Linked DNA regions of Stegostoma tigrinum. The protein of the gene in region 2 interacts with the protein of the main gene of each other region in a pairwise test. Links are inferred from orthologs where the notes say so. Each region holds a gene or a part of one and is shown on either strand. Other genes may lie near its edges.

Region 1 (8,012 bases), about 930 kb from region 2:
ACCATCTGCAAATTCCCCTGCTAGCCACTCGTCATCCTGACATGGAATTACATCACTGTTCCTGGGTCAAAATCCTGGAATTTCCTCTGAAAAGGCATTGTGGGTCAGGCTACAGCACATGGACTGCAGTGGTTCAAGAAGGCAGCTCCCTACCACCTTCTGAAGGGCAATAAATACTGGCCAGCCAGCAACACGCACATCCCATGAGAGAGTGGAATAAAACGAAAGTAAGGAGTGTATCTCAAAAAATATTTTTAAACATCTTGCAACCGAGTCTAAAGGGGTGGGCAAATTCTTCTCATTTCCTCTTGCTCTTGGTTTAGCAATGTTTTAAATTTTAAACAAATGTATTTTTCCCTAATTCAGTATGTGCTTGGTTATGCATTAAAGCTATGAAAAACAAGACAGAAAATCCTTTTAAGTTAGTTAAAATGAAGTGGCTTTTTTATTGTAAACTCACTGAGTACGAAGTATAAATATTACTTAAAAGGTATAACCTAACTTGGAATTCCATGTCAGAAACACACAAACTCACACCAACATACACACAAACAAACACACACATGCACACACACACACACACATGCATGCACGTTCACACACACACACACACATACATAAATGTGCGAGCAATCAGAACAAGGACAGGATGAGGGAGGTTGGAATTGAGAAATGATTACAGTTCTCAGGTGAAGGATTATATTTTCTGATGTTGATTTTAAAGTTCTGGTGGTTACAACTGAACTGGTTCTGCTGTTGTCCTGGATTTGTGTACAGCAAGTATGCACATTCAGTATTTTCATCAGATCTGATCATCTTACAGAATTGGGCACACCACGTCCAGTGAAAGGGAAGCTCTTCATCTTTTGATGTGACTGGATGTTACTGCCCTCTTTAGCAACAAGCACAAACGAATCATCATGGCCCCACACAGAAGTGATGTTTCGATGTGTAAACATTGGCTGTTAGGTCACAATAACGATTAATCAATTCTCAAAGAGGTTTGCGGTTTCCCCTTGTTGTAGGTTCAGGTGATGGGGTTTGGGGAACAGTGGTTCAATCCTCCTCTTTACATAGTAAGTTTTGGTTTAATTCGTTGTTCCAATAATATCTGCAATTTCAATGAACACAGCAGGCCAAGCAGCATCTCAGGAGCACAAAAGCTGACGTTTCGGGCCTAGACCCTTCATCAGAGAGGATCTAGGCCCGAAACATCAGCTTTTGTTATCTCGGATTCTCCAGCATCTGCAGTCCCCATTATCTCTGCAATTTCAATCATTGCCAAGGCATTTGAAGATCTCATTGCGAGCTACATATTGAAGATGCTGAATTTTGATGTTCAGGTAATTATCCTTAGATAACATTTTCGGGAATATGGTCAGCCAAGTTTCTTAAACATTCTTTTGTAAATCCCAGTGCAGCTTGGCTACCTTCAGGTCAGGTGACATTGAAAACCATTTTAAGGTATCCCAAACTTATTATTAACTGTTCACTCAAAGACAAAAGTCCATGGCTTTTAAATTCATTGATAAGATTTACAGATTAATATTTCGTACTCTTATATCATCGTGACAAACAGTAAGGTGGTGTGCGAGTGTCAGTAATAAAGAGTAAATTTTTAAAAGTGAGGTTGATTCTGAGGGGACGGGATACAGAGGTAGTGAAGGATAAGTAGAAATTAGCAGGAATAGTTAACAAGTGTTTCATTTCAGTGTTTAACAACATGGAATGCAGAGAAATCCTGAATAGGGTTAACATGAGCTGAATAACATCATAAATAAAAGGAAACTATTAAAGAAGTTTGGTTATCTAAATATTCTGAGACCTGATGAAATATATCAAAGGATTCTGAGGGAAATGAGGAACAAATAGCTTGGTTGATCATGCTCCTGGTAGGAAATGGCAGGAGATTGATTCAGTGACAATGCTGGAGTGAAGTTAAGAGTTGAATTGCAGCTAATAGTTTTCTGTAGTCACAGCGTTATTATTGTAGAGAATTAGGAGAAGGTACTGAAGATTTTTCTTGTTGATGATCACTGCCTGACACGTGAAGGAAAAATGATACATGCCTTTGATTCCTTTGCCCTTTGTAATTTTCAATGGGGTTTGTTGTAAATCTTTGCTTTTCTTTAATTTATATTAAAACTGAACTCACAATTGCACCAATGTAACACAATTGTTGGATTAATATCCAGTAAATTGTGAAATTGATTTATATGTCATGAGCAGTTTCATTTCCACTTTTTCGGTACATTTTGGTTTCCATAAAGCAATAAACAAACTGCTTCACTTCCCTGTAAAACACGAACTAACTACGTTTCCTACTATTCTTGTGGGTTTAATCTTCTCAAATGAAATGTCTACTTGTTATATTTTGCTCAGCGTTTACAATGTTAATCAGTGAATTGTAACCCTCTTGTTATTTTGATATGTCTTGGAATAAAAACAGAAGCATTTCAAGTAATTCCGAATACACCTTCAAAATGTGGAACTGTGACAGCAACTTACCTTCTCAGCCTGGCTCCATTCTCTGCGGAGGAGATGCAGGCAGCCGATGTTGAAACAGATTTTGGAGCTGGGCTCGAGTATAGTGGTGAACAGGTTGAGTGCGGTTAGCCACTCCTGGCGGTCTGCTGCAGTAATGCCTTCATCCCATAATTTGATGGTGTCTGTTAGAGACATACTGAGCCCGGCCGTTTAATGTATACAAGCTGCAGCGCGTGAAATAGCGTGGTTTGTATGCACTGGCTAAACCAGCAACTAATTTCAACGCACTGCTTCTTTTACCGTCTGCTTCCTCCGCTTGACTGAATACGCTATAGAAATACTACAGGAAATGTGACCATGAGCCCAACTTTAGCTGTGACTAGACCAGTTTCATAGGAAGTTAACTCACTGACATTGCCTTTTGATATAGTGGCTGCAAGTCCTGTGGAGATGTGAACGGTCTGACAAATCCAAACCTTACCATGAACATAAGAGAGATTATAACAGTCTAAAGGCAAATTAATTGATTTACCAATCCTCCCGCACCTTCCACAAATATTTTTATATGTTTTGTATTTTAGTTTCCTGTTGCAAACTTCTAAATCAAGTATTTTCGATGCTGGAAACGGCTGGCTAAAAAATTTAACTCTGGGCAGTTTGTGTTCCAGCAGCTGTCAGACTGACGCTTCAGACACCGCCTCTATATTTCCCTGACAACAGTAACATCGTCAACAAACAGGGAGGCCATTACAGACAGACCAAATGCGCAGCTAACAAAGTACTGAAGGGACATCATTTCCAATCACAAAGAAAAGCAAAAAAGCGCTAAGATTTGGTGAGTAGCATTGTCATAGATTCCCTTTGCACCCCCCGATGTAGATTTAAGACCATAAGACGTAGGAGTGGAATTAAGGCCATTCGGCCCATCGAGTCCACTCCGCCATTTAAATCATGGCTGATGGGCGTTTCAACTCCACTTCCCTGCACTCTCCCCGTAGCCCTTGATTCCTTGTGAGATCAAGAGTTTATCGATCTCTGCCTTGAAGGCATCCAACGTCCCGGCCTCCACTGCACTCCGTGGCAATGAATTCCACAGGCCCACCACACTCTGGCTGAAGAAATGTCTCCTCATTTCTGTTTTAAATTTACCGCCTCTAATTCTAAGGCTGTGCCCGTGGGTCCTAGTCTCCCCTCCTAATAGAAACAACGTCTTAGCGTCTACCCCTTCTAAACCATACATTATCTTGTAAGTTTCTATTAGATCTCCCCTCAACCTTCTAAACTCTAATGAATACAATCCCAGGGATCCTCAGCCGTTCATCGTATGTTAGGCCAACCATTCCACGGATCATCCATGTAAATCTCCACTGGACATGCTCCAGCTCCAGTTTGTCCTTCCTGAGGTGTGGGGGCCAAAATTGGACACAGCATTCTAAATAGGGTCCAACTAGAGCTTTATAAAGTCTCAGAAACACGTCACTGCTTTTATATTCCAGCCCTCTTGAGATAACCGACAACATTACATTCGCTTTCTTAATCACGGACCCTACCTGCAAGTTAACCTTTAGAGAATCCTGGACCAACACTCCCAGATCACTTTGTACTTCTGCTTTACAAATTTTCTCACCATTTAGACAATTGTCCATGCCTGTATTCCTTTTTCCAAAGTTTGTACACTGTAGGCTATGGTGCCGATCTCTCCTGTCTCTCACACTGTAGACTATGATGCTGATCTCTCCTCTCTGTGACACTGTAGACTATGGTGCTGATCTCTCCTGTCTCTCACACTGTAGACTATGGTGGTGATCTCTGCTCTCTGTGACACTGTAGACTAAGGTGCTGATCTCTCCTGTCTGTCCCACTGTAGACTATGGTGCTGATCTCACCTATCCGTGACACTGTAGACTATGGTCCTGATCTCTCCTATCTGTGACACTGTAGACTAGGGTGCTGATCTCACCTATCCGTGACACTGTAGACTATGGTGCTGATCTCTCCTCTCTGTGACACTGTAGACTATGGTGCTGATCTCTCCTGTCTGTCCCACTGTAGAATATGGTGCTGATCTCTCCTCTCTGTGACACTGTAGACTAAGGAGCTGATCTCTCCTGCCTGTCCCACTGTAGACTATGGTGCTGATCTCTCCTGTCTGTGACACTGTAGACTATGGTGCTGATCTCTCCTGTCTGTGACACTGTAGACTATGGTGCTGATCTCTCCTGTCTGTCCCACTGTAGACTATGGTGCTGATCTCTCCTCTCTGTGACACTGTAGACTAAGGAGCTGATCTCTCCTGTCTGTCCCACTGTAGACTATGGTGCTGATCTCTCCTCTCTGTGACACTAGACTATGGTGCTGATCTCTCCTGTCTGTCCCACTGTAGACTGAGGTGCTGACCTCTCCTCTCTGTGACACTGTAGACTATAGTGCTGGTGTCTCCTCTCTGTCCCACTGTAGACTATGGTGCTGATCTCTGTTCTGTGTGACACTGTAGACTAAGGTGCTGATCTCTCCTGTCTGTCCCACTGTAGACTATGGTGTTGATCTGTCCTGTCTCTCACACTGTAGACGATGGTGCTGATCTCTCCTGTCTGTCCCACTGTAGACTAAGGAGCTGATCTCTCCTGCCTGTCCCACTGTAGACGATGGTGCTGATCTCTCCTCTCTGTGACACTGTAGACGATGGTGCTGATCTCTCCTGTCTGTCCCACTGTAGAATATGGTGCTGATCTCTCCTCTCTGTGACACTGTAGACTAAGGAGCTGATCTCTCCTGCCTGTCCCACTGTAGACTGTGGTGCTGATCTCTCCTCTCTGTGACACTGTCGACTATAGTGCTGATCTCTCCTGTCTGTCCCACTGTAGACTATGGTGCTGATCTCTCCTGTCTGTCCCACTGTAGACTATGGTGCTGATCTCTCCTGCCTGTCCCACTGTAGACTATGGTGCTGATCTCCTCTCTCTGTGACACTGTAGACTATGGTGCTGATCTCTCCTCTCTGTGACACTGTCGACTATAGTGCTGATCTCTCCTGTCTGTCCCACTGTAGACTATGCTGCTGATCTCTCCTGTCTGTCCCACTGTAGACTATGGTGCTGATCTCTCCTGTCTGTCCCACTGTAGACTATGCTGCTGATCTCTCCTGTCTGTGACACTGTAGACTATGGTGCTGATCTCTCCTGTCTGTCCCACTGTAGACTATAGTGCTGATCTCTCCTCTCTGTGACACTGTAGACTATGGTGCTGATCTCCTCTCTCTGTGACACTGTAGACTATGGTGCTGATCTCTCCTCTCTGTCCCACTGTAGACTATGGTGCTGATCTCTCCTCTCTGTGACACTGTAGACTAAGGAGCTGATCTCTCCTGCCTGTCCCACTGTAGACTATGGTGCTGGTCTCTCCTGTCTGTGACACTGTAGACTATGGTGCTGATCTCTCCTGTCTGTCCCACTGTAGACTATGCTGCTGATCTCTCCTCTCTGTGACATGGTAGACTATGGTGCTGATCTCTCCTGTCTGTCCCACTGTAGACTATGGTGCTGATCTCTCCTGTCTGTGACACTGTAGACTATGGTGCTGATCTCTCCTCTCTGTGACATGGTAGACTATGGTGCTGATCTCCCCTGTCTGTCCCACTGTAGACTATGCTGCTGATCTCTCCTCTCTGTGACATGGTAGACTATGGTGCTGATCTCTCCTCTCTGTCCCACTGTAGACTATGGTGCTGATCTCTCCTCTCTGTGACACTGTAGACTAAGGAGCTGATCTCTCCTGCCTGTCCCACTGTAGACTATAGTGCTGATCTCTCCTCTCTGTGACACTGTAGACTATGGTGCTGATCTCTCCTCTCTGTGTCACTGTAGACTATAGTGCTGATCTCCTCTCTCTGTGACACTGTAGACTATGGTGCTGATCTCTCCTCTCTGTCCCACTGTAGACTATGGTGCTGATCTCTCCTCTCTGTGACATGGTAGACTATGGTGCTGATCTCTCCTGTCTGTGACACTGTAGACTATGGTGCTGATCTCTCCTCTCTGTGACATGGTAGACTATGGTGCTGATCTCTCCTGCCTGTCCCACTGAAGACTATGCTGCTGATCTCCTCTCTCTGTGACACGGTAGACTATGGTGCTGATCTCTCCTGTCTGTCCCACTGTAGACTATGCTGCTGATCTCTCCTCTCTGTGACATGGTAGACTATGGTGCTGATCTCTCCTGTCTGTCCCACTGTAGACTATGGTGCTGATCTCTCCTCTCTGTGACACTGTAGACTATGGTGCTGATCTCTCCTGTCTGTCCCACTGTAGACTATGGTCCTGATCTCTCCTGTCTTCACACTGTACATTGTCATCATGAGCTCTCCTCTCTGCCATGCTGTTGATACTGGTCCTGATCTTTCTGCTCTGTAGGCTCAGGTCCTGCAGGAGTTTTTGCAGGAAGCTGAAGCAAGTGGCTGTGATCCTTGACAAGGAGGTTTTGGAGGGAGTACAGATATGATTTACTAGGATGTTGCCTGATCTGAATGGTATTAGGCTCAATAAGATATTGGACAAACTTGGTTTGCTTTCACTTGAATGTCAAAAGATGAGGGGGTGACCTGATAGAAGTTTACAAAATTATGAGGGCATGGATAGACAGGATAATCAAAGTTATTTTCCCAGGGTAGAAATATTCAGAAAGGTGTGGTGGTTGGTGTGTCTCGGGAAGGGTTTGTCGATATTCTGGGGTATGTAATTGTAAAAAAGGAGGAGGTTTCAGTGTTTTAAAAAGCATTAGGGTAGACAAGTCCCCAGGACCTGATAGGGATCAATCCCAGAATGCTGAGGGAACCAGGTGATGAAATTGCTGGGGCATTGTACAAAAGCTTTCTATCCTTCTTAGACATAGGAGAGGTCCCAGAGGACTAGAGAGTAACCAGCATTTTTCCATTGTTTAAGAAGGGCAACAGGGACAGTCCAGGTAATTACAGGCCAGTGAGCCTTACGTCAGCGGCAGGGAAGTTATTGGGGAAAATTCTTAGGGAAAGGTTTTACTCAGATTTGGAGAGATATGAACTTACTAGCGATAGTGTGGCTTTGTGTGGGGAAGGCAGTGTCTGACAAACCTGATTGAGTTTTTAGAGGGAGGGACAAAGATGATTGATGAGGGTAGGGCAGTAGATGTTATCTACATGGACTTTAGCAAGGCCTTTGTCAAGGTCCTTCATGGCAAGATGATATAGTCATAGAAGACAGAGTGGTGGTGGAAGGGTGTTTTTTGGATTGGAGATCTGTGACCAGTGGCGCTTCACAGGGATTCCATGCTGGGACACTTGTTATTTGAAAGACGTGGTGAGTTGCATACGGTAAGAGGGTTTGCCTGATGATACAGCAGGATATAGATAGACTGGAGACTTGGACGGAGAAATGCCAGATGGAGTTTAATCTGGACAAACGCATGCTGACGCATTTTGGATGATCAAATGCAGGAGAATAGCATAAAGTTCATGGCAGAACTTTTTGTAGCATCAACATACGGAGGGACCT
Region 2 (7,980 bases):
CCACCTACCCTGCACATCTGAGGGGGGAAACTGGAGCACCCGGAGAAAACCCATGCAGTCACAGGGAGAATGTGCAAATTCCACACAGACAGCTGCCCGAGGCTGGCATTGAGCCAGGTCCCTGGCGCTGTGAAGGAGCGGTGCTAACCACTGACCCACCATGCCACTGTTTTATAATGTCTCTGTAGAGCACCTTGGGTAATTTTATGTTAAAGACAATGTAGTTACAAGTTGCTATCAATTATCATTTTGCAAACCACGATTTGGAAATTTACAACGTTGAAGTGTAAAGTGCTGTTTTTAGATGTCCAACATTTCAGTTTTCAGAGAGGAACTATGCACAGACTATCAGAACAGTCTAGAAAGGGCAACAGAATGAGTCTGGCAAAAATGTAAATGTGATTCTGTCCAGTTAAAATCCAGTCTGTAGCATCCAGGGCAAAAGACTACAATCTAAATGTTTCCACTTTTTCTTGCTTTTTTTGTTTGGCCCCAGGTCTCCTACCACCAGATAATCTTTCCATTGTTCGTTATTTGAAAAATTATTTCAGTTATCAATTTCAATATAAATGCATTCAGTTACTTTATAGAAAAGTCAACTGCCTTACAGTGAACACATATCCTGGATATGCATGGTGCTTGTTAATTTCCTTAAAATACCCTACTAAATCTACTTTAGTTTGCAAATATGCTTCATTCTCACTAATATATGAACTTCCAAAGAGCAGTTGAGTCTTTGTACTGAAATTGAAGCTCATGGAATGTAAGGTAATTTGTTGACCTGGTTAATAAATTGGCTGTACAAGTGGCAGAGTGGTGATAATATCAAAAATTGGCACGTAAGATCCAAAGGGTGTATGTTGAGATCTCAATTATACATTGCTTTCAATAATTTAGATAATGTAATTGTTGACATGAAAACAAAACCACGACATTATCAACAATTAAGTAAAGGGTGAAAGAGATTTCAATGCAGATAAATGCAAGTTCATCCATTTTCTAACTAGAAATAGAACAGAATACTCCCTAAATGGTGTAATGCTGTAAACTGAGATGGTCATAAAGACTAGGAATTCCAAATACACATTACTGAAGTGTCACAAACAGGTATCAAAAAGTAGGTAGTAAAGTTACTGGAATGTTGGCATTCATAAAGAGGGTAAATTTATAGAGCCATAAATTTATATCAAGGGTAATGAACACAAGGGGATAAAATTTAATCTATAGTGATAATGGGAACTGCAGATGCTGGAGAATCCAAGATAATAAAGTGTGAAGCTGGATGAACACAGCAGGCCAAGCAGCATCTCAGGAGCACAAAAGCTGACGTTTCGGGCCTAGACCCTTCATCAGATGAAGGGTCTAGGCCCGAAACGTCAGCTTTTGTGCTCCTGAGATGCTGCTTGGCCTGCTGTGTTCATCCAGCTTCACACTTTATCAAAATTTAATCTACACACGCTTTTGTGCTCCTAAGATGGTGCTTGGCCTGTTGTGTTCGTCCAGCTCCAGACTTTGTTATCTCAGATTCTCCAGTACCTGCAGTTCCCATTATCTCTTATAAAAAGACCTGGTTAGGCAACTTTAAGCAGTTCTGGAAACCAGAAGTCAGGATGAATGTGTTGGACTTTGAGGGGCATATCACAGACCTCCCAGAATTGTATCAATGCCAAGAGAGAACAAAGAGAATACATAAACTAATAAAATAAAAACTACAGGTGCTGAAGATCCAGGACCACTAGACTTGAAACATTAACTCTGCTTTCTCTCCACAGCTGGTGCCAGACTTGCTGAGTTTCACCAGGAATTTCTGTTTGTATTATACACACTAAGAATAGGTTTCTTGGATTTTGGAAGTGCTTTGATTACAATTATCAAGATATTAAGTGAACAGATAGGCTAGATTGGAGAAGTATTTTCCATTAGTTAGGAAAACTAAAATTTATGGCATAGTCAAAAAATTCAAACTTTTCAGAAGTGACATTAGGAAATATGTCCTTTTGCAAAGTATGGTAGAAGTTTGGAAACATCTTCCACACGTGGCAATTAATGTTAGATAAACTGTCAATTTAAAAGTGTGATATTTGCTTGTTAGCCAAAGGTATTAGGGATAAGGGGCAAAGGTCAATAAATGGAATTAGATTACAACCATGTTATTACTGAATAATAGGACAAGATTGAGGGCTAAGTAGATTACACCTATTTCTATTGTATTTGTCACAAGCATTAGAATATTTGGTCCTGCTTTGACTGACAGTGCACCAATCATTTGTTGTTACTCAAGTTGAATTGTATAAGCTGTGCTTAACCTGTTATTTATCCATTTGTTGTTTGAACATAAATGTAAAACAATTTTTTAAAATACATATAACAGGTTGATTGCTTTTATTCGACACAAATTGAATACTTTATAGAGAAAGTACTCCTAACCTGGAGTTCACAATCCGTGGTTCCCCATTATCCTCCTCTCCCCATCACAAACAATGCCAAATTTACTGTAAATTCACAAGACGTCACTTCTGTCAATACAGAATTATAGACGACCTGAAATTCGCCAGTTACCACCTGATAATAGCCCGGATGGTAACCACCATTGGTTCTCATCACTCAACGAGCTCATCTGGCGAGTATCCCAATCATCATCACGACAGTGATAATAGGACGCAACTGACCTCTCCAAACGAGGGTGTGGTAGGAAAAGAAATCCTTCTCAGTAAGCGAAGATTCAGTTTAACTGCGAATGATGCTCTCCATTAAAAAAGGGGGGATAGTAATATTAACGATCCAGGCTGACTCATTCAGAATGCATTAATAGAATGTATCTGAGAGCAACCTTGAAACGAACGCTATGGTAGTGTCAGCATCAACAAGGGAGAAGAGTATTATACGCGCTGCACAAATGTCTGTCAAACCCACAGCTGAGAGAGCAGCTGCGAAGTAGACGTTAACAGCAGAATGATTAAGGTGCCGCAGTCACAAAATGCAACAACAGCGACTGCAGGTTCCTGGGCCCAACCCGGTCCTTCCAAAAAAGCAACCACCAACACCCTGCCCCTGTTACAGCACCAACCTCTTCAGGTAGCGAGCATCTTCCGGTTGCATCTTTATCGGCCGCTCCAATTCTGTCTGCAAAAGCAGTTTCTTTGTTTGCTTACTTTACCCAACAGCAAAGCCACCCTCACATCTCCCCGGGTTACCAGAGACAAGTGCAGCCGCCCCACAATCCGCAGCGGTACGCGCGGGCGGAGCCTGCGCTGGAGGGCGGAACTAAACCGACAACGATGGACACTCCGCCTGCAGCACCCCCACTAGGCCAACAACAATAACTCCAGGTCAACGGGACTGCGATCGAAAGAGTCGTCACCAGCAGAAACAGCTTGCATTTACAGAAAACAAATCAAAACGTTCAGAAACTTCGCAAAGGTGCAAACAGAGAAAAGAATGCCCAACTATGAAAGGAAATATTAAATATCGTGATTGAAATCACTCTCCGTGCCCTCATCCATACCTTTTGTCACCTTAAATCACAACTTCGTATGTTCTCCTTAAACTTCAACTCATCCAAAATTTTGGCAGGTCTGGCAGCATCTGTGAAGGAAAAAACAGCGTTAACGTTTCGGGTCCGGTGAACGGATTCTGAGGGTCAACGGACCCGAAACGTTAAGATAATAAAATGTGAGGCTGGATGAACACAGCAGGCCAAGCAGCATCTCAGGAGCACAAAAGCTGACGTTTCGGCTAGGCCTGCTGTGTTCATCCAGTTCCACACGTTGTTATCTCAGACTCCAGCATGGCCAGTTCCTACTATGTCTGAGATTTTCCAGCAACTTTGTTTTTGTTCCTGATTTACAGCATCCGCAGTTATTTCCGTTTTCATCCAAAATTTTGTCGCCTATATCATGTCTTGTATTCATCTATCACCGATGACCTACTAAACTGCATGAAGTCCTGATTGTCCCTCACCTGCAGTCCCTATAGGGTCCCTCCAATTTTCACTTCTGCAAATATACTCCAGTCTGAGAGCTACCCAGGACTCTTCTTCCTTCCAACTCTGGTCTCTTGCTCATTTCCACTTTTTATATCCTACTTTTAGTTCGTATGACTTGAAAAGTGAAGCCCCTAAACTCTGGGATTCAATCTCTTAAATCTCTACTCTTCCATCTATCTCAATTCTCTTATCCTTTTTTAAAGCATATCGTTTCTGATTAACGTTGAGCCATAACTCTTAATTGCCCCTTCTTTGACTGAGTGACAATATGTTTAAATACACATTTAGGAACAGTCTTGAAACATTTTAATAAAGACAGAAAGGTTGTGGGTTAAGGTCCCATTCCAAGGCTTAATCACAAAAATTCAAGCTGACATTCCAGTGCATTCTGTCCTTTGTGATGCTTTCAGGTAAGACATTAAACCAAAATCCTGTCTGTCCTCTCAGGTGGATGTAAACTATCCTCTGGCACTTTTTTTTTAGAAAAAGACCAAGAAAATGGGCAATATGTATCTCTCAATCAATATCACCAAAATTATTCGATCATCATCGATTTGCTGTTTGTGGGGCTGGTAATGTGCAAAATGACTTCCACATGTTCTATTTGACAGTAGTGACTGTATAAAATATTTCATTGACTGTAAAGTGCTTTGGGATATCACGTGGTCGTGAAAGGTACAATAACAATGCTAGTTTTCTTTTACATGCAAGTTGTTCATAATGTGTAGTAATCTTCACAATTCATTTAACAGTAGCTGTAGCACATCATTTATCAAACAAATGAGAAATGTGTTTTCTCTAAGAATAAAAATAAGTTTTGAATAATCTCTCAGACAGGTTATTTGGGTTGGAGAAAATGTAACCGAAGGTTATGATGGTAGAGTTGTCGTCTTAAATGATTAAAATCCACGCGTCTTGCTTTACGAGTTTGCCTCTCCACATTTCCCCAATCTCCCATGTTTGTGAATTTTTCTAATGCATTTCTCCTCTCAAACTTACTGAGCGACCCAGCTCATGTTTTTTTGAAGTTGCTAATTCCTTCACTGTACGAAGGGGAAGTGGATCTCAGTCGCAGATAAATCCATCTCCTTTCACGATGCGTCACTGGCATACATAACACAAATCATTGACTGGGCACTTAGGTTCCCTGTCATCTCACGGAACCACAATTTTCCTGCATAATCTCAGGAAGTGTTTGAACTTTGTACAAACCTCAATGGACCATTTAGTAAGATTCACATTCAGCAAAGTTTTGTGGTCCGAAAGCTTTGTTTTACACCAGGATTTAGGATTTCCAGAATATGCTGAAATGAGATCAATGTAGGCAGAGCTGGTTGGGTAGGAGGGTTGGAGTTCATACGGAGGCGCGTTTTCAGCACCTGCTTGGGGGATCGGAGCCTGATCAGTCCAAGGACTAGCGCCAAGTTGTTAAGAACAGAGATACCGGGAAGTTACACCGTGGGATCCGAATCGCCGAAAATTACCTGGAGAAATAGAGGAAACCCAGCGACATCCCAAACTCTAAAATACAATGGAAGAAAAGGTGGAGTGGAAAAAAGCCCACTATGCTTTTAAGTCGCGGTGGGACAGAACTGACGATGATATGTGCCGCAACAGCATGTCTTTCTTTCTCCATAAAACCATTAGGAGTGACTTCTTTTCCAGTTACCTCTTTCTGTTGGAGCAGTTGCCTTTGGGTGAGTTGGAGTGATGGCTGCCATACCCGTATAGGAAAGGCAGAGTGAGTGAAAATATCGCAGCAAACATAAACTGCGGCTCAATGTTATTGTAAAACGCAACATTTATTTAAAGGGGGCTACGTATATTTTCGGATTCTTTAGAGCATATTGGCTAAGTTTTATCATTCAGTCATTGATTAAAATACCACTCGATTGTGCGGCAGCGTTTCAGCAAATTTAGCCGAACGATTACAGTTTTGAATCGTTACGACACCTTCCACGACCACTAGACCGCGCAAAATGCTTTGCAGCTAATAAAATACTTTTAAACGTGTAATTGCGTATTGGCGTAATGCAGGAAACTGGGCAGTTTTGCGCACAGTAAAACTCCCATAGTCAGCAATATGATACTGAACAGCTATGAGGCGTTTTGTGATTTTGATTGAAGGGTAAATGTTGGCCAATATCCTGAGTCACAACCCATCCATCAAATAAAATCGAATGTATTTACACTAGTGCTTCGATTTGGATGTTTTCTAAATTGCTGAAGATATCGGGCATTTTGAGATAGATTATCACCTACTCCGAAAATCTACTTGGGAAAGGCTTTATGTGTTGGTCATCATATGATTAAATATGGCAAAACTCACTAGGAGTTTATATGAAGCAAATAAACCACAGTATTAGAGCTGTTTATGTTTTCTTCTAATTAAAAGGATGCTTATTCCAACAATGTACATTATTAATAACATTTATGAAAACTACATTACCGTAATTACAATATCACAATATTTACAAAAAATTCAACTTGTTCCATTTAACATATTCCACTTGAAGCAATTGTAAAGGTCGGAATATTTACACGACACATCCCATTTGAGGTAGACACCCAACAGCAAAAGCATTTCAAATCTGAAACTGCAAAAGGCAAACAGATATAACACTCTATATAACATCTTTCATTCTGATGCAGGAATTTTGTGTTCTATGGGTTGTTCTCAGGGCTGTAAACCAAGACAATCATAAACAGTGCCTGAAGAACTATCAACTCAGTAAAAGATGCTCTTTGGTCTGCCCTAAGCTTGCTGGCCTTTCATTGAGGGAGTTGTCCTCAGTTAAATATTGCAGACTGGCACATTCTACGGTCCAGAATTACATGTTGAGAGACACACTAGAGTTGGAGCAGCTGCAGCAGAGACACAAATGGGATAGGTTGCTCCCTGGGTCCTTTCAGCCATAGTGCACCAAAGGGCTGGAAATGGAGTACTTCTTAGGCTGAGCACTGCACAAGGACTGTATGTTGTAAGTCTAATTAAAAGAACGGCTCTCTTCATAAGTCCCATAGCAGATAATGTCTCCATGAAAAAGTAAGAGGGGTGGGAGAAAACTGGCACCAGAATGTTTTTGTGTGTGAAGGTGACTGCACATCAGACATGGTTGGGATTTGTTACTGTTGATTATTCTGTCACAACTGAGTAAACAAACAAATAAGTAAAAATGCTTTTCACAGTCATTGAACATCTCAAAACATTTATCATTAAGGAAGCACTTCCAAAGTGCAAATGGACGCAGTTGCAATGCAAGAAATGAGTCAATTTGCACACCCCTGACAGTTTGATAATGGACAGAAAATGTGTTTTGTGATGTTGGTTAAAAAATACATATCAATATGACACTGAGGATAAATCCCCCATACTTTAGAATAATGCAGTGATCTTTTATGTTCATCCAAACATGAAATTGAGGCCTTGGTTTGACATTTCTTCCAAAAGATAGCATCTCCAATAGAGCAGCAGTCCTTCAGTACTACACTGGAGTGTCAACATTGATATTTAAGCACTGGAGTAGGGCTTGAATCCAGTATCTCAGCAGCAATAGTGCTACCAACAGTATTATAGCAAACATGAGCATAGAGCAAATCACATGGCAACTTCATCTAAACCCCTCAACCAAGTATTGATTACCTTACTGTATTGTATTATTTATTTGAAGTACTTTTTCAGTTTGACCAAATTAGCAGCATTACCACAGTACCTGCAATCGAAGCAAGTAATGCAGAATGTTAATTCATGAGAATGAGCTGCAGCCCAATGGTACAGCATGAATCAGCACTGTATTGACAGGTCATTTTCCATTATAGCCGATTACATGGGATTAACATGCTTATATATAATTTATATTGGCTGCTTTCTATAGTGAATTATGCAGTTCGTTTTTGCTGTGAATACTAAACCTGTTTACATTCTTATGCCACATGATACATTTACAGTATTGCTGTTATAATAATTAATTGTATATTTTATCCAAATCACATTC

What was found. The genes of interacting proteins can lie anywhere in the genome.
Region 1: the proteins of kifap3a (region 2) and ncf2 interact in binary tests that used the Homo sapiens proteins (3 or more experiments, as listed by UniProt). The two-hybrid records come from large-scale screens. The link is inferred for Stegostoma tigrinum from reciprocal best matches to the Homo sapiens genes KIFAP3 and NCF2.

Annotation. Positions count from the first base shown.
Region 1 is NC_081361.1:45,931,434-45,939,445, forward strand, and holds the start of ncf2 (neutrophil cytosol factor 2), read right to left. Parts: upstream 3,065-8,012; 5' UTR 2,683-3,064; coding exon 2,509-2,682; intron 1-2,508. UniProt on the Homo sapiens protein: Subunit of the phagocyte NADPH oxidase complex that mediates the transfer of electrons from cytosolic NADPH to O2 to produce the superoxide anion (O2(-)).
Region 2 is NC_081361.1:46,861,101-46,869,080, forward strand, and holds the start of kifap3a (kinesin-associated protein 3a), read right to left. Parts: upstream 3,242-7,980; 5' UTR 3,100-3,241; coding exon 3,068-3,099; intron 1-3,067. Other genes in the region: ntmt2 (N-terminal Xaa-Pro-Lys N-methyltransferase 2), read left to right, coding at 5,517-5,682. UniProt on the Homo sapiens protein: Involved in tethering the chromosomes to the spindle pole and in chromosome movement. Binds to the tail domain of the KIF3A/KIF3B heterodimer to form a heterotrimeric KIF3 complex and may regulate the membrane binding of this complex.